2 linked regions of the Oryctolagus cuniculus genome follow. The protein of the gene in region 1 interacts with the protein of each later gene in a pairwise test. Links are inferred from orthologs where the notes say so. Each region holds a gene or a part of one and is shown on either strand. Other genes may lie near its edges.

What was found.
Region 2: the proteins of MTFR1L (region 1) and ARMC1 interact in binary tests that used the Homo sapiens proteins (3 or more experiments, as listed by UniProt). The two-hybrid records come from large-scale screens. The link is inferred for Oryctolagus cuniculus from reciprocal best matches to the Homo sapiens genes MTFR1L and ARMC1.

What each region holds. Positions count from the first base shown.
Region 1 is NC_091438.1:145,591,311-145,604,109, forward strand, and holds the start of MTFR1L (mitochondrial fission regulator 1-like), read right to left. Parts: upstream 5,972-12,799; 5' UTR 5,833-5,971; exon of another isoform or gene 5,804-5,832; intron 5,721-5,803; exon of another isoform or gene 5,627-5,720; intron 4,433-5,626; exon of another isoform or gene 4,324-4,432; intron 3,872-4,323; 5' UTR 3,766-3,871; coding exon 3,742-3,765; intron 3,263-3,741; coding exon 3,158-3,262; intron 1-3,157. UniProt on the Homo sapiens protein: Mitochondrial protein required for adaptation of miochondrial dynamics to metabolic changes. Regulates mitochondrial morphology at steady state and mediates AMPK-dependent stress-induced mitochondrial fragmentation via the control of OPA1 levels.
Region 2 is NC_091437.1:91,306,874-91,318,999, forward strand, and holds part of ARMC1 (armadillo repeat-containing protein 1), read right to left. Parts: intron 5,817-12,126; coding exon 5,627-5,816; intron 847-5,626; coding exon 730-846; intron 646-729; coding exon 571-645; intron 1-570.

The sequences.
Region 1 (12,799 bases):
TGCACCCCATGGGAGACCAGGAAAAGCACCTGGCTCCTGGCTCCTGCCATCGGATCAGCGCGGTGCACCGGCCGCAGCGCGCCAGCCGCGGCGGCCATTGGAGGGTGAACCAACGGCAAAGGAAGACCTTTCTCTCTGTCTCTCTCTCTCACTGTCCACTCTGCCTGTCAAAAAACAAAAAACAAAAAACAAAAAAAAAAAAGAAAGGTCTTCCTTCCATTGGTTCACTCCCCAAATGGCCACAATGGTTGCAGCTGCGCTGATCCGGAGCCAGGTGCTTCCTCCTGGTCTCCCATGCCTTCCCAGCTGGCCTGAGTGATCTTTTAACAGGGCTGGCCATGAGACAGGTGTTGTGGTATACCAGATTAGGCCACTGCTTGGGACGCCTGTATCCCACAAGAAGACCTGGTTCCAGTCCTGGCTACTCTGCATCTCATCCAGCTCCCTGCTGATGCACCAGGGAAGCAGTGGATGATGGCTCAAGTACTTGGGCTCCTGCCACCATGTCAGACCTGGCTTCAGCCTGGCCCAGCTCTGGCTGTTTTGGATCTTTGGGGAATAAATCAGTGAATGGAAGATTAGTCTGTAATTCTGCCTTTCAAATAAAATAATTATTAAACAAACAGAGATGGCCATCTTGCCCTTTGATTGTGAGAATATGGGTACAGGGGCTGGCGCTGTGGTATAGCAGGTAAGGCCGCTGTCTGCAGTGCCAGCATCCCATATAGGCGCCGGTTTAAGACCCGGCTGATCCACTTCCAATCCAGCTCTCTACTGTGGCCTGGGAAAGCAGTACAAGATGGCCCAAGTCCTTGGGCTTCTGCACCTGCGTGGGAGACCTGGAAGAAGCTCCTGGCTCCTGGCTTCATATCGGCACAGCTCTGGCCGTTGCGGCCATTTGAGGAATGAACCAGCAGATGGAAGATCTCTTTCTGCCTCCTCTTCTGTGTAACTCTTTCAAATAAATAAATAAATCTTTTAAAAAAAAGAATGTATGGGTACAGGGTCATCAAAAATCTGTTCTAGCCACGGGAAATTTCTTGTGGCTGTGTCATGGTGTGATTCTAGGTAACTTATTTTACTTTCCACAATTTTTTTTTTTCAACTTATTTGACAGAGTTAGACAGTGAGAGAGAGACAGACAGAAAGACAGAGAGAAAGGTCTTCCTTCCATTGGTTCACCCCCCAAATGGCTGCTACAGCCAGCACTGTGCCGATCCGAAGCCAGGAGCCAGGTGTTTCCTCCTGGTCTCCCACACGGGTGCAGGGCCCAAGCACTTGGGCCATCCTCGACTGCCTTCCCAGGCCACAGCAGAGAGCTGGACTGGAAAAGGAGCAACCAGGACTAGAACCCAGTGCCCATATGGGATGCCAGTGCCGTAGGTGGAGGATTAGCCAAGTGACCCATGGCGCCAGCCTACTTTTCACAATTTTTATAGGGCTAAATTTTAAAAATAAGATTCCTTTTAATATTTAAGATGATTTACAGAAATCTAGGTATAATTAAGACAGTAGCACACCTGCATGAGTTAAATTCCATCTGTTACAAATTGTTTATTAGGTGGATGAGGGGTTGCCAGTTCTTGCTTTTAGATAGGGAACCTGGGACTGACAGGAATTAAGTGACACTCCAAGGGCACGAGGAGGATGAGTGTCACTGACCCAGAGCTATTGCCAGAGTGAGCCATTCAGGGAGAGCCATGTTTGCTTTCCGGGATTAGCTGTGAATGTCCCTTCGCTGTGGGCAGTTAACCGAGGTAATGTGGGAAGTGCCTGCACAGTGTGTGCCCCTCGTCAGTGTCACTGCTCCTCCCTGCTGCTCTGAGGGAGCCTGTGCCTGGCAGCATCTGTCCAAGGCCTGCAGGGGAGACAGCCAAGCGTGGGGCACCCTGCACGGGGTCAGTCACGCTTAGCCGTCTTTCCCTGTTGTCCAGTGCTTCCAAGGCAGCTGGGACCCACGTCCTCCTGCCCCTGCCAATTAGGCAATTCTGGGTGATTGGCAAGTTGGGTTATGGGATAGCCCTTTCCAACCTCATTCCTGAACTAACACCAAGCCTGATACCACTTCCAACTCCAGATCCAGTTCCTACACAGCCTGCACTTTAGCATCTGATATACAAGCTCCTTCACTCTCTTCCTGCCTGGGCACACCTTTCACTCGTATGTGGGTTTCCTCTGCATAGACAGAAAGCAGAGGTGGGTGTGTCCCAGCGTCCTGAGCACAGACACCTTAACCAGCAGTCTGGAACTGATGCTTCACCGTTGGTTCCTGGGGGAGGCAGCTGGGACTGACAGATGCTGCTCAGCGTTCAGGGTAGGAGGAGGTCTCAGACCTGGGCCAGGCAGAACTCTGCTACAGAAGAAGAGCTAAAGTCTCCCAGACAGGGAGGTAACACTGAAGTAGCCTGGTAAAGGAGTGGCCAGACTTAGCCAGAAAGAGGAAGACGGGGGGAGTAAGGCCTCAGAAACACTACAAGTGGCTAAGTGGCCAAGTCTTAGGACTTAGAGCTGAAGAAGAGAGTTAAGCTCAAGAGACACACATGGGCTGGCATAGTGGTTTAAGCTACCACCTGTGACACCGGCATCCCATATGAGCCAGTTTGAGTCCTGGCTGCTCCATTTCTGATTAAGCTCCCTGCTAAGCTAATGTACCTGGTGAAGCAGCAGATGATCCAATACCTGGGCCTCTGCTACCCACACGGGAGACACAGATCGAGCTCCTGGCTTCAGCCTGGCCCAGCTCTAGCCTTTGCAGCCGTTTAGGGAGTGAACCAGCAGATGGAAGAGATCGCTCTCAAGAGTCAATATAACACTCAGTGACCCACGTGGAGACCCTCGGGTTGTTGGCAAACAGCTCGAGCGCAGATGTGCACAGTCATGCAGATTTGGCCTGCTCTGATAAACTGCTGAAGCCGATGAAATCAGAGTCTCAGCAGAGGCCACCAGGATGTCAGTGTTCACTCATGAACAGACTGGAAGGCCGTGTAGCCGCAGGTGTGTGTGCAATCAGAAGGTACCGTGAGCAGGAGCTATCTGGACCACTTACTAAATACTTCTTGATCAAATGAAAAAGTAAGCAGGAAGGCAGCTGGCCTTGGCACACACCAACAGGTCTGAGGCACAGAGCCTCTTCTCTCCTCGCCCTCAGCACACTCACCTCAAAGGCTGCCCGGGGGCACGGCTTCAAGGGTAGGTTGGTCCCAATTCTCCTCACCACACTTCGGGCAGCTCCGTGAGGCTTGTTTTGCCAGATTGGGATAGTCTAGGCAAAGAGGGACAGGATGGCCACAACTTCAGAGACAGCGAGTCCAGCTACCTTTGTCCCTGCCCACTCTAGCAGGAAGACTGGATTCCAAATCTCAGAGGCAGGGTACCCTCTGGGGCTAAGTCAGGTCTCTACTATGAGTGAGGACAGGCTCCTCAACAGCCAGCACCCAAGGGACATGCTGCTGCTGGGGCAGTCAGTGTCAGGAAGCCCAGTGAAGGGGCCAGGAGTTAGCTGGGTACAGGGATCATCCAGGTGCCCCTCCCCTCCCTCTGCACAGGAAGGTGGAAATACGTTGAGCCCTGAAACTTCTCCAGTGCCTAGCAGATTCCTCAGAGAAGGGGATGGAAGGGCAGCCTTGCTCCAGTTCCAGGCCTCCAGGGAGAAGGATTGCGGGAGTCAGAACCTCGTACTGTACTTGGGCTGGCTCGGTGCTCCACTCTCCCACCACACCTTGCCCTGGGAGTGTCCCTTACCACATTGGCTTCCATTCCCGACATCGCAGCCAGCTCCTGCACTTGGACAGGGCAGCCACGGCAGCAGGGAGAGGCGGGAGGTGTGGCGCCTGCACATCAGGCCATCTTGAGGAATGTCCGATTTTCCTTCCTGTGAAACAACCCCCACAGTGGGAACTCAGTGGCCACAAGCCCCACAAAAGTAGGCCCTGCAGAGCCTCGACTACACCAAGACTTCTGTTTCACACGAGGAGAAAACCACTCCAAGAGGCTGCCTTCACCCACCACAGGCTCCAAATCCAGGCCCCTAAAGGTTCTGTTCGACTTTGTGGGTGAGCTCGGCCAACCTGGGGAACCTCCCTGGGCCCTGAGGTTTCTTGAGGCAAAAGGACATAAATAGAAAATATGTTCTAAAGACATAAATAGAACCTGTTGGTATGTACAAAGTTCATGGGAGAGCCAAAAGGAAGGTACTGTCCAAGCCCAGCATTCATTCTTAGGGTTGGAAAAGCATTGCTGGGCCCCTGCCAGGGGCTGGAGCGGCAGCAGGAGAGTGAACAGAGGGGGGAGAAGAGCCCCAAATCTGCATCTTGGTTCAGCCACCTGCCGTCTTGTAGCCTCCGGCAGGTCATTTAATCTTTCTGAATGGTTCTCCACTTGACCTTAAGGTTCGGTGAAATGGGTTTAAGTGCTTAATGAACCGTTAAACACGCCACAGATGGAAGGGGTCACTCCTGGCAGGTGCAGTCCGCTCCTATGCATTCCCTTGTTCACCCAGCTGAGATGGGACCCGGACAGTGACTTTCACTGAGGAGGAGGCTGGGTGAGTTCAGAGGGAGTAGGAAGGTGAGGGGTGGAGTATGAGAAGACAACGAGGCAGGCTGGGGGTGAAGTCCTGAGGGCTGGGGACGCCGGGGGAGGTCACTGCGGAGCAGAGACTGGCAAAGCCGCTCTTTTGGCGAGTTCCCCCGGAGGGTCTCCCCCTTGGGAAAGCAGGTGTCGGGGAAGGGAAGCTGGAGGAGGAAGGGCCCCGGGGCTGGCCCGGGTGTCGCTGCCTCCACTCCTCAGTCCAAGCCTTTCATCTGCGCCCCAGTGCCTCTGTCTCAAATCCTTACGGCCACTTCCTCCGGTGGGCCTGATGCAACAGCTGCAGGCATTTTCCCAAACACTTCGGTTCTATGATTAAAACTGGCTGGCTAGAGACGACAAGATAGAACCTGGACCCCAGACTGCCCCGCGAGGCCGGTGCGGGGCGGCCCCCGCGTCACGGCCACACCTCCCGCGCCCTTGCAGGCGACGCCAGCACCCGCTTCTCGGCCCCAGCGTCACCGTCCGTCCTGCCCGGGTCGGGGGCGCCCCAGTTCCCTGCAGCACCGCCGCGAACTGCGGTTCCCGGAGGGGCCGCACGGCATCTGCCGGAACAGACTAAGCGCTCGAACATCCGTGGAGCCGGAGACTGCCAGCTCGGCCTCCAAGCTCCCCGCCCCAAGGGCTGCGGGCTGGCAACACTGCTGGGCCGTCGGCGCTGCTGCGCCCCCACCGCCCCTTCCGAGGCCGCCGTCACGCTCCGTTCACGCGCGTCCCCCCGGGGAGACGGCGCTGCTCCAAGCAGGGCCGTCTCCGCACCCCGGCCCGGGCGCAAACTTCGCGGCGCGCACCGACGGTCGGAGCCCCGCGCGGTGGGTCTCGCCGCCAGGCCCCCACGCAGCTGCGCGGGGAAGCCGCCGCTGGGACCCAGCCAGGACGCGCGTCCCCGCCCCCGCAACACCCCGCCGGCCCGGATCAAGGTCGGCCAGGTCCTCGCCGCCTGCCCAGCAGCCCAGCGCCCCAGCGCCCCACAGGCCCCGTGGCCGGGTCTCCGAAGGGCCGAACCCTCCGGTCGGCCTCGGCTCGGAGGAGTAACTACCCTCTCGGGGACTCGGCTTCCCCGTGCCAAAGGAAGCGGACGGCGGCGGCTCCCGCGAGAAGTCGCGCGGGAACAGGAGCCGCGGGCCCCGCACAGCGCCTGGCGCCGAGACCCCGCCTGCGGCCGGGCCGGAAGGCCGCGCCTCTGTCTCTCCGGCCGCCCTCGGACCCTGCTCACCTCAGACTGTGGCTCCGGGACTCACTCACCTCACGGCCCCTCCTACCTCAGCGAGCAGCCCGGCCTCAACCGCCCCGACTTCCGCTGACCCGCCCCCCCCGGAAGCGATCCTTTGCAGCTGCGCACCGAGCCGCGCCCCCGCGCGCCCTCGGCAGGCGGGCCCAGGGCGGGGGCGGGGATGGGGGCGCGGCCTCTGAGGGGGCGGGGATGGGGGCGCGGCCTATGAGGGGGCGGGGCGGGGCACGCCCCCGTCCGCAGGCAGCGCCTGGAGATCCCCGAGGGTGCTGATTCGTCGCTTCCGGCGCGGGTCGCCGTCGCTTTGTTGCTTTTCACGTTTGTACGCCTTCGACTTCCGGAAGCCGAGGTCTGCCCAGCTCGGCCTTTAAAATATGCGGGGTCTGTTGCCCCCCACCCCGGGCTCTGGCGCTTCCTCTGCGTGGCCCTCGAGTCCGTGGGCCTCCCCCAAGAGAATGGGCTCCCCAGTCTTTGGGGCTTTCTTCTGTCTTAGCCTTTATCTCACCCTTAGACGCACAGCCACATGGCATATATATATGTGTGTGTATGTATATGTATATACATACACACACATATATATTTAAAAGTTTATTTATTTGAAAGGCAGAATGACCCAAAAAAAAAAAAAAAAAAAAAAGTGGGAGGGAAGCTGGTTCACTTCTCAAATGCCCGCAAGAGCCACAGCCCGCCCAGGCGGAAACCAGGAGCCGGAAACTCCGTGTGGGTCCCCCGCGCGGGTGAAAGTGTCCAGGTACTCGGGTATCCTCTGCTGCACACTGGGGGAAGGGGGTCAGAAGCAGCACAGCCCAGCACTATGGGCTGTGGGCAACCCACCCTGCGGCCCAGCCCACTGCACCACTGCACTGGTCCTACAGGCGGCACCTTCCAAAATCGGTTAGGCGGGCCAGACCCCAGAAGCCCTGGCAGAGAGACCCACACTGGTCAGACCAACTCCCTCACTCCTGGTCTCGGTGGCACCTAGTTCCTAGGCCACCGTTTCTTCTCTGACCCCAGCCTAAGGCCGTGCCCGGCTCCTGGGATGCAATCCCTTGGTCCCAATGCCTGAATCCCGTGTGCCCGGGCCGGCTTCATGGGTGAACAGCTTGTGCAGTCCCACAGAGCCCCATTTCCAGAACCGCACACTCAGCTCAGTGCTCTGCAGCTGCCCTCTTGAAATTACTAATGATTTCTACACTGGGGGTCTTGCATTTTCACTTTGCAGAGCCTTGCAGATACAAAGCTGGTCCTGGCCAGACGCCTCAGAGGACATCCGTCTTGGAAGAGTCCAGCTCTTTTTCCAGGACGGCAAATCATGCTTTGTTCCTCCCGGGTCCAAGCCTCATGCCGCCTCTCCTGGGTGTATAATTGTGGCGTCTCACCCGGCTCCCCTTGCAGAAGGAGGACGAAGCCCACCAACCTGGGCGTTTACTCTTCTGCTCCCAGGCCAGTAGCTGGTTGGTCGAGATGTGAAAGGCTGGCACAGCTGTGCAGTGTGGTTTGTGACCCACAGCCTCCCCGTAGATGCGGCCGAGCCCGGGCGCTGAGACCCTAACCTAACCCTTCCCTCTTCTGCTCCCTTGTCGTTTTACAGGTCTTTTCCTGAAGTGCACATCATATCCATGAGGGCGGGTGTTTGACCCAGCAGTTGACATGCTGGGTAGGACACCCCTAGCCCCCATCAGAATGTCTGGGTTCAAATGAATAAATCCTGGCCGGCAATGTGGCACAGTGGGTAAAGCTGCCACCTGTGATGCTGGCATCCCATATGGGCACCCGTTCATGTCCCAGCTGTTCCACCTCTGATCCAGCTCCCTGCTGATGGCCTGGGAAAAACAGCACAGGGTGCCCCAAGTGCTTGGGCCCCTGCCACCCACATGGGAGACCTGGATTGAGTTCCTAGTTCCTAGCGTTGGCCTGGCCAACTAGTTCCTAGGGTTGTGGGCTTTTGGGGAGTGAGCCACCAGATGCGAGATTTGTCTCTGTGCCTTTCAAATAAATACATAATTTTGAAAAAGATCGCCTAAGGCCTGGCTCAGGCCCTTCGTCTAAGACAACGGGTTAACTTCAGAATCTTTTTCAATACAGAACACCAGACTTTGAAAATGGTAAGTTCACCACGTGGTCTACCACAAACATTTTGGCAAGGCACTCAGGCTCTCTGGTGACAGATAAGCCGGTCGCCAGTCATTCCAGCTCCACTCTGCACAGCCAGTCCCATCGACGGAGGGGCTGGACTGGGGGAGGAGAGAACAGATTCGAGGACATGTATGGGCCCAGGGAGGGAGGTGGCAGAGCAAGGACAAGAGGCGGCTGGGGGCCTCAAGACCCAGTGGAGCACAGGCAGAGGTCCCTGGTGGAGACTGGAAGCCCAAGCATCCAGCACGTCGCCCAGGACTAGGACAGTCCCGTGTGGAGCCTGCCCTCCCCAAGCAGCACAAGGTGGAACCTGCCGGGGTGGGGGAGGCAGGTGTGTGCTGGCACCCGGAGGGAGGCTCAGGGGATGCGCTGCCAGCTCAGGCGCCCTCCAGCCCGTCAGGACGGAGAACCTGGCCGTGCTCGCTGGCGTGCGCCCCGCCTGTCTGCAGGCCTGGGGAGACTGAGACAGTCTGGGTCTGGGCTATCCTTCCACCCAGGGAAAATGGGCAGGGAGTTGGGGGGGGGGGTGCAGCACCAAGCCGTCCCCCCCCAACACACAATCAAGATGTAGGTTTCAGAGTCACCCGTGGGCTTGAATCTCAGTTCCCCCACTCTGGGTGACTTCAGAGTCCTGTCCCTTTCCTGAGCCTCAAGTCACCCGCAAAATGGGCCCGCTGACCATGCCCTGCCCCCCTGCAGGCTGGATGCGAGAGAACACAAGGACGCGTCATCGTAGCTGGCTCAGCACCTGCTGCTGATTTATACCCGACACGGCGTGGGGAACGTGGCTGGCTCCGTGTGGGCACTCCCACGGAGGGCGGGTGAGGGAGAGGTGAACCCCTGGGGTGGAGGACAGAGAAGGGGGCAGGCAGAGAGAGGCCCCACCTCCAGGCAGGTTCCCAGGGCGCCCTGGGGCCGGGCGGAGGGCAGGTCAGAGCTGAAGAGAAGGGAGGGGCCATCGTCCCACCCGCACAGCAGCAGGGACATCAGGCTGGGTCCTCTGGGGTTTCAGACCCAGCTGTCATGGAGCTGCTGCCAGAGGGCTACAGCCCCTCCCTTCTCATCACGGGGTTATCAAAATACCTACAAACTGCGGAAGTTCTGTAAAAACGCTTTTCTGCATGTATAAAAAAGAGGCTGGGCATGGCCCATGGCTCAGGAGTGGCCCAGGAGAGCCGGCTGTGCTGCCCCTCTGGCCCTCACCCCGGGGGTCGTGGGCAAGCTGGTCTGGGCACGCCTGGTGGCCGAGACAGAGCTGGCCCGGGGGAGCTTGTGTTCTTTGACTGCTGGGCAGACCTCCAAGGAGTTAGAAGTCGGAGGGGCACCAGCCGTCTTGCAGGGCCCCGGGTTCAGGGCCAGCCTCAGCGGGGCTCCTGGCTGGAGGCAGGGAGACACGCCCAGCCCGGGCAGCTGGCGCCGCCGTGAGTCCCTGCCGGGGCTCCGGTGTCCCGTCACGAGGCCGCCGCGTGGGCTGGGAGCACAGGGGTGAGTGCAGTTTCCACTTCTGAAAGGGAGGCGCCGCCCAGAGGCTCTGGAACGTTGTGTCCACCGGGGACGGCCCCAGCCGGGGACATCGGGCACAGCAGGGCACGTGGCCGGGAAGAGGGCTCCAGACAGACGGAGTGCTGCCCGGGCTGGGGCTCCTTGAAGTTTCCTCTGGGAGTGGGGTCAAAGCAAGGACAGCGCAGCTGGTGAGGACCCGGGCTGTGTGACTGGGTGGGGTGAGGCGAGGCCCAGGGAGAGCGCCCCAGGTGCATTCTGGGGAGCTCCCAGCAGCTTCCAGAGCCAGGTGGGTGGGCAGGGGCTGCTGCTGGTGGTCCGAGCTAGGGGTCCCCCCACCTGTGTCCCCGCGTCCCTCCCCATGCCACCGTCTCCGGGGCAGAGCTAGGGCCGCCACCCTTGGCTGACTGGGAGCCGGGTGGGGGCTGCAGACCCGGCGCCCCGAGCTAGGGCTGGAGGAGGGGCAGGCCGCGCCGCAGCCCCTCCTGCAGGAAGCGCAGGTAGGTGGCCGTGGACGGGTCTTCGAAGGTGGACGAGAAGCGGAAGACGTTGCTCTCCACGTCCTCGGGCTTCAGGGCGGTGATGTCCAGGAAGTAGTTGGCGTTGATGTGGTGGACCTAGGGGAGGGGCTGGGTGAGGAGGGCCCCGGCTTGGCCACTCTGGGGCGACAGTGGAAGGCGGTGCAGCGACGGGCTGTGGCCCACCCCGACCCCGCCGGCCACCCTCTGTTGCCTCTGCTCCCGCAGGGCCCGACAATGATGGAGCTCCTCCCCACCCCGGCCTCAGGGCAAAACCCCAGTGCCTCCCATGTCACCTTCACCACCTCTCTGACCCCCACCGCTCAAAATGGCCTCTGTCCTCCGTTCCTGCGCCCCTGAGCTCCATGACCCCTGCTGCCCACGTTCGCCAGGGCTGCTCCCCCAGCTGCCTCGCCGCAGCCAGCTCATTTCGCCACCAGCTGCCCCTCGTCACCGTCTGCTACTCTGGCCCCGTCCCGGAGCCTTTGTAAGCCTCCCTGTCCCTAGAGATCCTCTGCCTCCCAAGGCTGCTGTGAGGCCCCCAGGAGAGACGTGGGTGAGGCCGCCCAAGGGGTCCTCAGGCAGGGGCGGGCCTTGAACCCTGGCTCAGGCTGGGCCCGCCCCTGGGGCACCCTGCCTGGCTCTGCTCCCTTCCTTCCCAGGGCTGTGCTGACTGGCCCTGGGCCGTGCTGGCTGCTGCCCAGGGAGTGGTGAGAGTCGCCCTTCCCGCTGGAGCGTCCCCACGTATGGATGTGAGTGACCGGGCCCAGGCTGGTCAGGAGACTAGCTCAGGGCTTCGCAGTCAAGAGGAGGCAGCGCCAGACCCGAAGCTGGGCGAGGCGGGCGCGGCTGCGGCCCGCGGGCCGGTGCGGGGGTGCCTACCACGGTGCCGTTGGGCAGGCAAATCATCATCTCCACGGGGAAGCTGTACTTCTCCAGGTGCAGGCTGGCCAGCTCCCGGTGGGACGGGTTCCCCTGATTGTTCTGCGGGGACAGGGGCGCTCCTGAGCTCTCCGCCCCAGGCCGGACCCGGGCTCCTGCGGGGCTGTCCTGTGCACCTGCCCGCGCACCTGCCCGCTCACCTGCAGGTCCTCCAGCTCCTTCACCAGGGACCAGGTGCTGACGAAGCTCTCGTTGAGCAGGGTGAGGACGGGCGAACTTTCCAGGACAGTCTCCCGGAGAGTTCGCCCCGAACCTGTCCAGAGGGGTGGCAAGGGGGTTCCATCAGCAACAGTCTGGCTTTGGGCAAGTGTCCGGGGCCCCACAGTGGGCCCTGCCCCGGGAGACAGACAGAGCTGCCTCAGAGTAGGCGGGGAGCAGCTGGTGACCACAATTTGCCTCGGTGCCGTCCTGGATTGCAGGGCGGAGGCGTGGGGTGGGGGGTCTACATGACTCAGGGATCTGTAGACAGCTACAGCCCCTTACATCCATGGACCTCTCTGTGCCCCAGGGCCTTTGCACAGATGGTCCCTCCACCCAGAACACCCTCCTGTCACTTGACAAACTCCTACCCAGTCCTTTAGGGTCTCCGCTGAAAAGTCACTTTCTCTAAGAAGCCTTCCTCGATGCCCCAGCCACATCCGGCGCCACTCTGGCCTCGTGTGACACTCACCTCGCCTGCACTTCCTCGCTCAGCGTCAGCCTCTGCACCACACTGTGCGCTCCCTAAGTCAGGGGCCCCCCACCCCCCTTCCTCATCCTGGTCGGCAGCAGGAGCCCAGGACCTGGGACTGGCTGGCTGCGGGCACTCATCTCTGTGCCCACACCCGACACCCTGAGGTCTCCGGGGCCGCGTCTGCTCCGGCCTCTGCCCCTCCCCCTGACCACGCATGTGTGATGCCCTAGAGCGTGCCCTGTCCCTTCTCACGTGTGTGCAACTCTCTCAAGGGTCAGGCTGTGCTGCCACCATCCTCACAGCTCTGGGGGCCAACTCCAGTGTCCTCTGGGAAGACAGCGCAGGCTCAGGGTGGGGGTGGGGACAGTACTGGCTTTGGGGGGAGGGGAGCCAGCACAGGCTGGGGGTGGGGGTGGGGACAGTACTGGCTTTGGGGGGAGGGGAGCCAGCGCAGGCTGGGGACGGGGTGGGGGTCACTCTGTCAAGGTCGCCAGGCTACAAAGCGTGGGGTCTGAGCCTAGTCTGCCCCTTCTTCTGTGTCCGGAAGCTTCCTCTCCGCACGCCCCATGCCCTCGGGACTCTTCCAGGAGAGTGGCGCTGGCATGACGTGACAGGGCTGAGGGTCCCTGTCCCCCCTCACCTCAGCAGGACTGGTCGTCCAGCGCCCCCCACAGCAGGATCGAGTGCACCAGCCTCTTCTCGGCCTTGGCGCGGTCGAAGGCCTCAGTGAACGGCAGGTAGGTGACCTGGAGCCGAGCCAAGGTGGGCAGAGCTATTGTGTGTGGCTCAGCCCTGTGAATGCACAGTGCGTGCGTGTGTGCGCGTATGTATGCGTGTGTGTGTGTCTATGTGTCTATGTGGGAATGTGCGTGCATTTCTAGGGATATGTCTGTGTGGACGCATGTGTGTCCATGTAAGCACACATGCATCTGTGTGTGCGCATGTGTCTCTGTGTGTACACATATATAAGTGTGTGCTGTCTATGTATGCATGTGTGTCTCTGTGTCTCTGTGTACACATGTGTTTGCACGTCATTATAAATGTGGGTGTGTATAAGTACATGTGTGTGTATCCATGTGTCTCTGTGTGTCTGTGTACATGTGTCTGTGTGTGCATGTCGTTATAAATGTGTACGTCCATGTATGTGTGTCTGTGAGTACATGTGTGTCTGTGTATGCATGTGTCTCTGTGCACACGTCTGTGTGTGCACAC
Region 2 (12,126 bases), on another chromosome or scaffold:
CTTAACTATCTTGGAGTAAATGAGTAATCTATGTCTATGAAAAGATGACCAAAGTTAATGTCTGGCCATGTGGGTCCCTGGAGAGCCATGGAACCTCCCATTAATGAAGACCCAAATGAACTCATGGCATTCAGATTCATTTCTCTTTTTTAAAATTTCACACTCATTTTCATATTACAATGCTACTGGAAAGAGTAGCAACAGGCAAAGATTTTGACCAAATTTATTTCCCCAATGGGATGTACCTTCATTTTATTTTTTAGATTGGAAAAATAGTTAAGATTGGGAAGAAAGTATTAAACCAAGTATCCAATGCAAAGAAATCAAGTATCCTATATTTCCATACAAATTCAGTAAAATATCTCCACTGAGAAAATTTTCTTCAAAGAATAGATTCTGAAATCTACAACAGATCTGTATATATTTCTAAGACAGTTAACTGCTAACCAAGAAACATCACATTCTTAAACAGCTGGCATCTACTTGTCTAGAAATATTGGCAATCTGTGAGCCATAAAAGACAATCAAGAGTCTGAATTAGATATAAAGCAAACTAAATGCAACCTTTACCTCTTCTCCACTTTCACTTTTCACAACTTGCTGAGCTTTCATAACCTTGGTTGATGCTATCGCTGATGCCAAAGCCTGGAACAGGATGAGAGGGATCAATTTTGAGCATTGATTTGTTTAGCTGTAACCTTAGGCATTTTTCAGCTATGTTATACTAACCTCCGCCTTCAAATCTGAACGGATTCGCACCACACATCTTTGCACAGCCATTTGAAAAGTAAAGCTAATAACACCTTTAATTTTTAACAAAGCCTCTTCACATAGATTTCTCCGAGACTGAAAAATAAAAGGAAATTGTCATTAAATATGATAAAATAATAACAGGGAAGACATCAACTCAAATCATCCTAAACTAGTCATTTTCATTATATTTTGGGGGAAAGGGGTGTAGAGCTAGGACATGAACCCAGACACTCCGATATGGTATTTGGGTGCCCCAAGTGACCTCGTAACTGCTGTGTCAAATATGTGTCCCTCCTCTGTACTGTTAACAACTTTGTAAGAAGTTAGTCAGGGGGCCAGCACCGTGGCTCATTTGGTTGATCCTCCGCCTGCGGCGCTGGCAACCCATATGGGCGCCAGGTTCTAGTCCTGGCTGCTCCTCTTCCAGTCCAGCTCTCTGCTGTGGCTGAGGAGTACAGTGGAGGATGGCCCAAGTGCTTGGGCACCTGCACCTGCATGGGAGACCAGGAGAAAGCACCTGGCTCCTGGCTTTGGATCGGTGCAGTACCGGCCATTGTGACCATTTGGGGAGTGAACCAACGGAAGGAAGACCTTTCTCTCTCTCTCTCTCTCACTGTCTGTAACCCTACCTGTCAAATAAATAAAAACTCAGAGGGCTTCCATAGCCTTGGAAACTCATGACTGGAGCACAGGGAGATTACTGATGCCATAGACAGGAGTGTCAATTGGTAAAGTCAACAACAGGAGTCACTGTGCACTTACTCCCCATGTAGGATCTCTGTCCTTAATGTGCTGTACATTGAGATTTAATGCTATAACGAGTACTCAAACAATATATTTCACTTTGTGTTTCTATGGGGGTGCAAACTGTTGAAATCTTTACTTAATGCATACTAAACTGATCCTCTGTAAAAAAAAAAAAAAAAAAAAAAGAAATTATCAACTCCCAACTTGACTCTCACTGGGATTAAACATGACAATAGGTCTGATCTGATTTCATCATCATTTAAAAAAAATCATCCATTATTTTTCACTTTATGTTTCTGTGTGGGAGCAAACTGTTGAAATCCTTACTTAATGTATACTAAGCTGATCTTCTGTATATTAAGATAATCGAAAATGAATCTTGATGTGAATGGAAGGGGAGAGGGAGTGGGAAAGGGGAGGATTGTGGGTGGGAGGGACGGTATGGGGGGGAAGCCATTGTAATCCATAAATCGTACTTTGGAAATTTATATTCATTAAATAAAAGTTAAAAAATAAATAAATAAATAAAATAATAAAGTTAGTCAGTTAATTCACATTTTAAACAAAAAGTACAGGAAAAAAATGCCAAAAACCAGAAAAAAAGACAGTCCTCTAGCTGAAGCATGAGCAAACTACAATCCATCAGCTGATTTTGTAGATGACATTTCACTGGAACATGGCCAAAGTCACTCATTCATGTATCATATGACATGAGTTTCCTGCTAAGCAGAAAGCTGACAGAGACCCATGTCAATGTGCTAAGCCCAGAATATTTACTCCCTGACCCTATAAAGAAGATGGGACAGATGTTGTGGCACAGAAGGTTAAAACATCATATGCAATGCTGGCAGCCCATACCCACGTCCCACTTCAGAGTGCCCATTTGAGTCCTGGATGCTCCTCCTCTGATTAGCTCCCTGCTAATGCACCTGGGAAGGCAGTGGAAATGGCCCAAGTACTTGGGCTGGGGCCCCTGCCACCCACATGAGAAACCACTATGGAGCTCCAGCTTCTGGCATCAATCTGGCCCAGCCCTGAACGTTGTACACCATTTGGGGAGTGAGCAAGTAGTTGATGGAAGATATCTCTCTGACACTCTTCCTTTCATATAAATAATTTAATAAAAAAAAAAAAAGCTCAATTCTGGAATCACACTACCTAGATTCAAATCTTGACTCATCTTTTCATTTCCTCCACCTATGTGACTTGGATATGTTATTTAAACCATTCTAAAACTCAATTTCCCATTCTACAAAAATAAGATAATGACATTCCTCTTGGAGTTGATTATCAAATCAGATAATCAATGGAATATACTTATCCTGAGTGCCAGGTTACGTCACTAAAAAGTGCTGAGCAAGATAACGCAGTGCTAGTGTTAACTTGCTAGTGTTTTCTTTTGTATTTTGGCAATCACATTCTTGCTATATATTTGGCCTATGTTTTTCTAAGTGCTTTATTGGGTTTTATTATTTGGTTTGTGCTAGTTTTAAAAAAGAATTATATTCTTAGTCACTACAATGTGATGGTACTAAAGATATTTCAATATCTTAATATCTTGCATTCAATTTATATTTATCAGAACTTGCTTCCTAAACATTTTTCAAGATCTTGTAGCTCCAAATTCAGTAAGACAGGTGTTACCTCATTTGGCTCTGTCACAGATAATATGCATAAGGAAGGCTTCCTCTCATAAGAATACTTCAAAAAGCTTGAAGAAAATATAATTTAAAAATAATTTATTTTGGCCCAAATATTTTTGAAATCCATGCACATTTTTTATCATAGTATTCACTTTCCATGAACTTTTTATATAAAGACTCCTTTTTATGTACAAAAACCTAAATCTTGAGGCCTGAGCACCTAAATACTATAACTAGAAAAAGCTATGGATAATCTATTATAACCTACCTAGCATAGGTAAAGGGATAAATGATGTTCTGCCAGTTGCCACCCATAAATATGTAAAAGAAACAAAGATTTCATTCCAAACATATACTCTAAGAAATATTAAATGGGGCTGGTGCTGTGGCATAGTGGGTAAAGCCACCTGCAGTGCTGGCATCCCATACAGGCGCCAGTTTGAGACCTGACTGCTCTACTTTCCATTCAGCTCTCTGCTATGGCCTGGGAAAGCAGTACAAGATGGCCCAAGTCCTTGGGCCCCTGCACCCATGTGGGAGACCTGGAAGAAGCTCCTGGCTCCTGGCTCTGAATTGGCGCAGCTCTAGCCGTTGCGGCCAATTGGGGAGTGATCCAGCAGATGGAAGACCTCTCTCTCTCTCTCTCTGCCTCTCTTCTCTCTGTGTAAATCTGACTTTCAAATAAATAAATAAATCTTTTAAAAAAAATTCCAATCAGTCCAAAGAAGCCAGGAAAAAAGAGGAAAAATGGCACAAAGGACAGAGCAAATAGAAAGCAATCAGCAAAATGGCTGTTTCAAATCCAACCATATAAATAATCATGCTAAATGTAAATGGCCCAAATACTCCAGTTAAAAGGCAGGTTTTTAGATTAGATCAAAAAAGCAACACTTGGGGCCAACGCTTTGGCATAGTGGATAAAGCTGCTACTTGCAGTGCTGGCATCCCATATTGATGCTGGTTCCAGTCCTGGCTGCTCCACTTCCAATTCAGCGCCCTGCTATGGCCTGGGAAAGCACTGGAAGATGGCCCAAGCCCTTGGGCCCTTGCACCTGTGTGGGAGACCTGGAGGAAGCTCCTGGCTCCTGGCTTCAGATGGGCACAGCTCCGGCCACTGTGGCCAATTGTGGAGTGAACCAGCGGATGGAAGACCTCTCTCTCTGCGTAACTCTGACTTTCAAGTAAAATAAATCAATCTTTAAAAAAAAAAGCAACACTTGACTAGATGAGGCCTGGAAGAAATCCACTTTTAAGTATAGCTATAAATATAAGATATAAGGGTTGGTGCTTAGTGTAAGGGTGAAGAATAAATTGATAAGGAATCACAAGTTATGCAGAATTGCTAATGGAATTCCACAATACTTGAAAAGATTTTGTACAAATGGTATTATTTCTTCCAGTATAGCCACCCAGGGCCTGAAGTTGGTTTTTAATTGCAACTTCTATTTCTTAATAGATATGGAGGAAATTCAGTCATGTATTTCTTCCTGAGTGGGCTATGGTAATTGTCTTTCAAGAAATTTCCCCATTTCATCAGCATTATCAAGTTTATTGGTATAAAGTTATTTAAAATATTTATTTTATCCTTTTAATATCTGTAAGAGCTATAATGATGTCCTGTTACTGACACTGTTTTTCATTTCAGTGATTTCTGTTCTTTTTTGTTTTGTTCTTCTGTTTGCTTTGGCTTTAATTTGCTCTTCTTTTTCTACCTTTCTAGGGTAGAAGCTTATCTTTCCTCTTTTGTAAACATTTTGTGTGAATGAATTTCCACTTAAATACTGTGTCAATTGCTCCCCACAAATTGATGTTATATTTTCATAATTATTCAAGATGCTTTCTAATTCCTCTTTTGATTTATTACTAATGCATGGATTGTTTTGGAAACTCAGATTCTTGAAGTTTCAGGGAAATTTTCCAGGTTATGTTTCTGTTACTGATTTCCAGTTTTTTTTTCATTATGCTCACAGAACACACTTTTATGATTTTAATTCTTTTAAATTTATTATGTTTTATGGCCCACAAAATGGTCTATTACTGGTGAATATTCCATGTGCATAAAAAAACTGAGTATTACCCTGTTGTGAGATAAGACTATTGCATAAATATCAATTAGGTTTAGATGATTTATATTATTATTCAAGTATTTGATACCCTTACTGATTTTCTGTATGCTTCTTGTAATAATTGAGGGTACTGTTCAAATCTTTAGCTCTAACTATGGATTTGCCAATTTCTCCCAGCATTTCTGTCAGTTTTTGCTTCATGTGTTTGGAAGCTTTCTTATTAGAGGCCTAATAAGAAATAAGTACTTGATATTGTTATGTCCTCTGATGAAATGATGTCTTTCGCATAAAATGAGTACAAAATACTGATACTGACTTTTACTCTTGAAGACATCAAATGACACTGAAAAAAAAAAAAACTTGCTGACACGATTTCTCTTGCTCCTCTTATGATCAATATGTCTGTAAAATTCTCACCGTATCATCAAGACCATCTATATGCAAAACCACTGTTTTGGCACGTTTGTTTGTAGTTCCCAGAAAAAACTGAGCTTTCCTTCGACGTGAATTCATTTCACTGAAGCTATCGCCATCTGCCATATTAGAGGACTGAAGAATGTCATAGATTTCAGAGGCCAGGAGTTTTGTTTCTCCTGGAGTTGTAGTTCTGGAAAAGAGACACATACAAATTAAATCAGTCCTGCCCTTCTACTCACTATTCTGTAGTCTTATTTCTCAACTTTAAGGACCCTTATTTCCTTCACTTTGATGCTTTGTTCAATTTAAAAGCAATATAAAAGTGCAACAGAAAGTATCTTGTCTATCACGTTCTTTTATTTCTTTTTTCTTTTTTTCTTTTTTTTTTTTTTTTTTTTGACAGGCAGAGTGTGTCGACAGTGAGAGAGAGAGACAGAGAGAAAGGTCTTCCTTTGCCGTTGGTTCACCCTCCAATGGCCACAGTGTACCGCGCTGATCCGATGGCAGGAGCCAGGTACTTATCCTGGTCTCCCATGGGGTTCAAGGCCCAAGCACTTGGGCCATCCTCCACTGCACTCCCAGGACACAGCAGAGAGCTGGACTGGAAGAGGAGCAACCGGGACAGAATCTGGCACCCGGACCAGGACTAGAATCTGGTGTGCGGGCACCGCAGGCGGAGGATTTGCCTATTGAGCCATGGCACCGGCAGTATATTAGCTATTTTAAGAAAGAAATTTTTTATGCATTCTTTCCTTTATTTATACTTCATATCTTTTATAAAACAAGTATATTTCATAAACCATGTCTCAAGTAAAAGTACTCATTCTTAAACTTTTAAATCCCACTGTAGTTTTTCATATCAACATCTAGGGACCAGCACTGTAGTATAGTGGGTAAAGCCGCTGCCTGTAGCACCAGCATCCTGTATGGGCACCGGTTGTAGTCCTGGCTGCTCCACTTCTGATCCAGCTCTCTGATATGGCCTGGGAAAGCACTGGAAGATGGCCCAAGTCCTTGGGCCCCTGCACCCACATGGGAGACCTGGAAGAAGCTCCTGGCTTCGAATCAGCGCAATTCCATTCCCTGCAGCCATTTGGGGAGTGAACCAGCGGATGGAAGACCTCTCTCTCTCTCTCTCTGCCTCTCCTCTCTCTGTGTAACTCTGACTTTCAAATAAAAACAAATCTTAAAAAAAAAAAAAAAAAAAAAAGCCTAGTGCTCTACTAATGTAACTTTCTGCAATGACAGAAATGTTCTTTATCTGTACCTGAAAGGTAACCAAAGCAAGTAAAGAAAAAAATTTTATTTAATTAATTTAAATAGCATATGCAGTAAGAGGTCACCATAATGGATGGCACAAATCTAATATCTAATTAATTAATTGAATTTAATAAAAAAAAGTACATATAACTCTAAGAACATAATCCTTATTTCACTAATAAATAGGTTTGGTTAAATCCACACCTTTTAATATATATCCAAGGCCTTAAAAACTGTCGGAACCGGCTCATTTTGTCTTTTTATTATAGTTCTTCAAGTTGACTGACTATGGCACTTATCTATCTCCTACAAAGTAATGCATTTTCATATATCCTTTCTGTTGTTCTTTGTTGTGAAATGCAGAAGGTAGAATGCAGGAATCCTTTCTACTATTTTTAAAAGTTTTCTGTAGGTCAGGTATTATTTCAACATAAAATAACTGAGAAAAGGCATAGAGAAATAAAGCATACTTTTTTTCCACAAAGATTTTCAGCAAGGACACACCACCATTTATTATAATATTCTTTTAAAATAAAGAACTTCAGGGAGGGATCAGTGTTGTGGCATCACGGGTAAAGCCACTGCCTGCAGTGCCAGTATACCAGTATACTGCAGTGCCAGTTCCTGTCCCGGCTGCTCCACCTCTGATCCAGTTTCCTGCCACTGGCCTAAAAAAAGCAGGGGCCCTAGTACTTGAGCCCCTGCACCCACATGGGAGACTCAGAAGAAGCTCCTGGCTCCTGACTTTAGCCTGGCTGAGCCCAGGCTGTTGCAGCCATTTGGGGAATAAACCAGCAGGTGGAAGATCTCTTTCTGAAAAGTCTTTCAAATAAATACATAAATATCTAAAAAAAAAAAAAAGAGAGAGAAGAGAACTTCAGGGAGAGGCATATGCCACAGCAATTAAGACATTGTTAAGACATTGCTAGGGATGTCTACATCCCATATCAGAGTGCTTGGCTCTGTTTCAGATCCAGTTTCCTGTTAATGCACACCCTGCCAAGGATCCCTGGCAGACAGTAGGTAATAGTCCGGGTACTTGAGTACCTGCCACCCATGTGGGAGACCCAGACAGAGTTCCAGGATCCTGGTTTCAGCCTAGAGTAGCCCAGCTGTTGGGTTTTTTGATTAGTGAACCAGCAGATGTAAGACCTTTCTGTCTGTCTCTGTCTCTCTGCCTTTCAAATAATAGTAAAAGTTCATTTAAAACATTTTTTAAAGATTTATTTATTTGAAAGATAGAGTTAGAGAGATTGAAACTGCTAGAGAGGTCTTCCATCTGCTGGTTCACTCCCCAAATGGCCGCAACAGCCAGAGCTACACTGACCCAAAGCCAGGTGCCAGAAGCTTCTTCCGGATCTCCTATATGGGTGCAGGGGCCCAAGGACTTGGACCATCTTCTACTGCTTTCCCAGGCCATAAAGAGAACTGGATAGAAAGAGGAGCAGCTGGGACTCAAACCCATGCCCATATGGGATGCTGGTGCTTTAATCCACTGTACCACAGTGCTGGCCCCAATTAAAAATTTCTGAAAACTAGAACCTTAGGGGGCCAGTGCTGTGAAGTTGCAGGTTAAGCCTTTACCTGCAGTGCATGCATCCAATATGAGCGCCAGTTCATGTCCCGGCTGTTCCTCTTCTGATCCAGCTCTCTGCCTGCCATGGCCTGGGAAAGCAGTAGAAAATGGTCCAAGTGCTTGAGCCCTGCACCCATGTGGGAGACCCGAAAGAAGCTCCTGGTTCCTGGCTTCTGACAGCCTGGCCATTTGGGGAGTAAGCCAGTGGATATAAGACCTCTCATTCTGTTTCTAACTCTACCTCTCAAATAAATAATCTTTTTTTAAAAGATTTATTTTATTTATTTGAAAGACAGAGTTACAGAGAGAGGTAGAGACAGAAAGAGAGGTCTTCTATCTGCTGGTTCGCTCCCAGATGGCCACAACAGCCAGAGCTGCACCGATCTGAAGCCAGGAGCCTCTTCTGGGTCTCCCACGTGGGTGCAGGGGCCCAAGGACTTGGGCCATCTTCTACTGTTTTTCCAGGCCATAGCAGAGAGCTGGATCGGAAGAGGAGCAGCCAGGACTAGAACCAGCACCCATTTGGGATACTGGCACTTCAGGCGAGGGCATTAACCTGCTGCACTACAGTGCCGGCCCCAATAAATTATTCTTCAAAACACACACACACACACACACACACAAACTAGAATCTTAGAAGTTTAGAAGTTCCCCAGATGAACTCAGATATTTCAAAGCTGAAATGCCACATTTCATTCCAGTGGCTTCTATTTATAGTATACCCTTGTTAGATATTCTCAAGTGGCTTAGGAAATACATCTTGGGATGTGTGTTTGGCACAGCAGTTAAGATGCCTCTTGGAAAACCTATATCCCTTATCCAGAAAGCCTGGGTTCAAGCCCTGGCTCTGGTTCTAATTCCAGCTTCCTAGGAGGCAGGAGGTGATGACTCAAGTAGTTAGGTCCCTGTCACCCAGTTAAGAAACCTGGACTGGGTTTCAAGTTCCTAGCTTTGCCTGACCCAGCCCTGGCTGTTGCAGGCATTTGGGGAGTGAACAAGTAGACAGAAGATTGATCTCTTCCCCCATCACACACAAATAAAAAGGAATATTTAAAAAAAAAAAAGCAACTTGTATTAGCAGTGTAACTCTTGAAGTACCAATTAACAAATATCTCAAACTGGATTTAAAATTCTCCTTAAACTACCATCTTAAAAACTCTTTTCAGAAAGGAATCTAGGACTAAAAATATAATATGAAAGGTTCTATCCTTTAATACTTTAATAACAAGCTTTTATTTATGGAAGAGATTAAAATTAGAATATAATGTCAGAGTCATTCTGAGTGACAGAGAGCTGAAATTCTTTTCACAGTTAAAGAACTAAAGATAACAGTGATTTTGAACTCAATCCAAGTGTCAATTTGTAAGCACCAAGTTGACCTCACAAGTCAAAACTGCTGTTTTATACATGTTCCAATCTCAGCAAATTCTCTAGCAAAACATGAGATGGGAATTAAACAACAAAAATTTAATTTACAGAATTTTCTCATTATGTAATACTCTCCTCTGCTTCTCAAGGGGAGAAAAACCTCCATTTTTCCTCCCTATTCCTGTTCCTACCACCCCCTCCCCCCAGGTGAACACTGCCAGATGTAAGGCTCTTCAGTTAATAGGGTAGCATCATTTCACACCAGACTTTCTTTATTCTCCAGGTCTTCCTGGAACGTGGAAAAATCCTCCTGGTACTTCTTTAGTGGCATGGTTCCAGAGCAGCATAACCAGCTCTCCCCTAACTCAGTACTCTAAGACAGAGGCTGCTCTGAAAGTTTGCTTCTAATCCCACTGACTGGCTGGCTGTCATGAAGTAGCGATATCAAAGAACACAAGGAGAGCATCTAATATCCATCTCTGTGCTATCATTTGCCAAGGTGACTATATATGAAAGGGATACTAATTAGCTCATAAGTTTGTTAAGTCAGAATTGTGAAAAATCAGTCATGTGCATCTGGTAATAAAGATATCAAAATGCAAAATAATGTCTAAAGGACAGATAAGTGAGTTTATACTGGCACCTCGATGATAAAGATATAAAACGCGTTCTGCTCTACTTCTCACTCTGATTTCTTATAAATTTTAAGAAAAGAAACACATAGGTAGACAATTACAATAAGATTACCAAAGCAATCTCATTGTTTTTTTTTAAAAAAAAAAAAAAAAGGAAAATCTCGTGCGAGCCATGAGATGGGTCACAATGCAGTATTTAACAAGTTGACCCAAAATCTGACTGTAACACTTTAAAGTCTTGATGTTTACAAGCAAAAACACACGGTTTTATCAACCTAATTATCATATTAGGATAGCACTCAAATACACTGATAAACTTCTAAGGTGGTTAGAAGTTTGGTAAACAAAGGAGACTTTTAAAAAACTTGCAAGGCAGTCTTCAAATCTGACATCTCCAGATTTATATATATATGTGTGTTTATATATATGTATTTATATGTATGTATATATATACACACATACATATATATTTATATACACTGAGAAATGTATATAAATATGTACACTGAAAAATGCATATAAAAAATTGGTACCTCAGATCTCTGCTTCTCAAAGGGTTGAAGGATCAAATTATAATGGAGTACAAGACGACTGTTTCACTATCAAGCAACAGTCACCACATTATTCTAAAAATTATACCTTATTTATTTGAATTAGAAGGCTAAGTCACAAAAAAAAAAAAAAAAAAAAAAAGAGAGAGAGAGAGAGAGAGAGAGAAGGCTAAGTCACTGCAGTAGCCAAGCAGATAAACACTATTTGGATCCCCCTTAACAAAGAACTTGCCCATCTACTCACAGTAGCAGAGTTACCCGCTACAGTGGCTTTGGGATCCATCACAAACTCAAGGTGGTGCCCTTCGCAGGCAGTCCCCAGTCAATGACTAAGCAGGGTAGGAGGAATAAGATCTGGCCATTTCTGCTCAGTGCAGGACTCCTCCCAATAGTAATCTTTGCTTGGAGCTCTCCTACTGGGTTGGCTGTCAAATCTGCATTGCAATCTGGGACCACTTTTGCCCCACTTTGCTTCCTCTTCTCTTTCACAGAAAGTCTAAAGACTTTTCCTGATTTGTCCTTCTTTACTTTTACAGATCTTATGCTACAATAAAGCTCTTCCTTTTCTAATGCTATCTCAGGATCTCCTTCCCAGAAGATATACCTGAACTGACACCATTTCTCTCACAAAGACACAAGCAGTCTCCCTACCATTTTACAGATATATATAAAATACACACACACATATATACATACAAAACCACATTCTATAGCCATACAAGTAAAGTAGCCCTTATAGAAGTACCTAAATCATGACTAAAGCTTTCCCCAGTTCCAGGGGAACTAAAATATGAATTAATTTGCTTCCATATCAGAGCTCCTGGGTTCAATACCCACCTCAGAATCTTGTCTCCACTTTCCTACTAATGCAGACCCAGGGAGGTAGTTGGGATGGCTCAAATAAGTGGTTTCCTGCCACCCATGCAGGAGACCCAGATTAAGTTACCGGCTTGTGGCTTCAGTCCAACCCAGCCTCAGTCATTGTAGGTATTTGGGAAGTGAACTAGCAGTTGGGAGTTCTATCTGCTTCTGAAATAAATTAACTGATTTAAAAATGATTCATAATTACACTATCTGTCAAAATTTTAATAAAGCTGAGTGTTTTTCTAA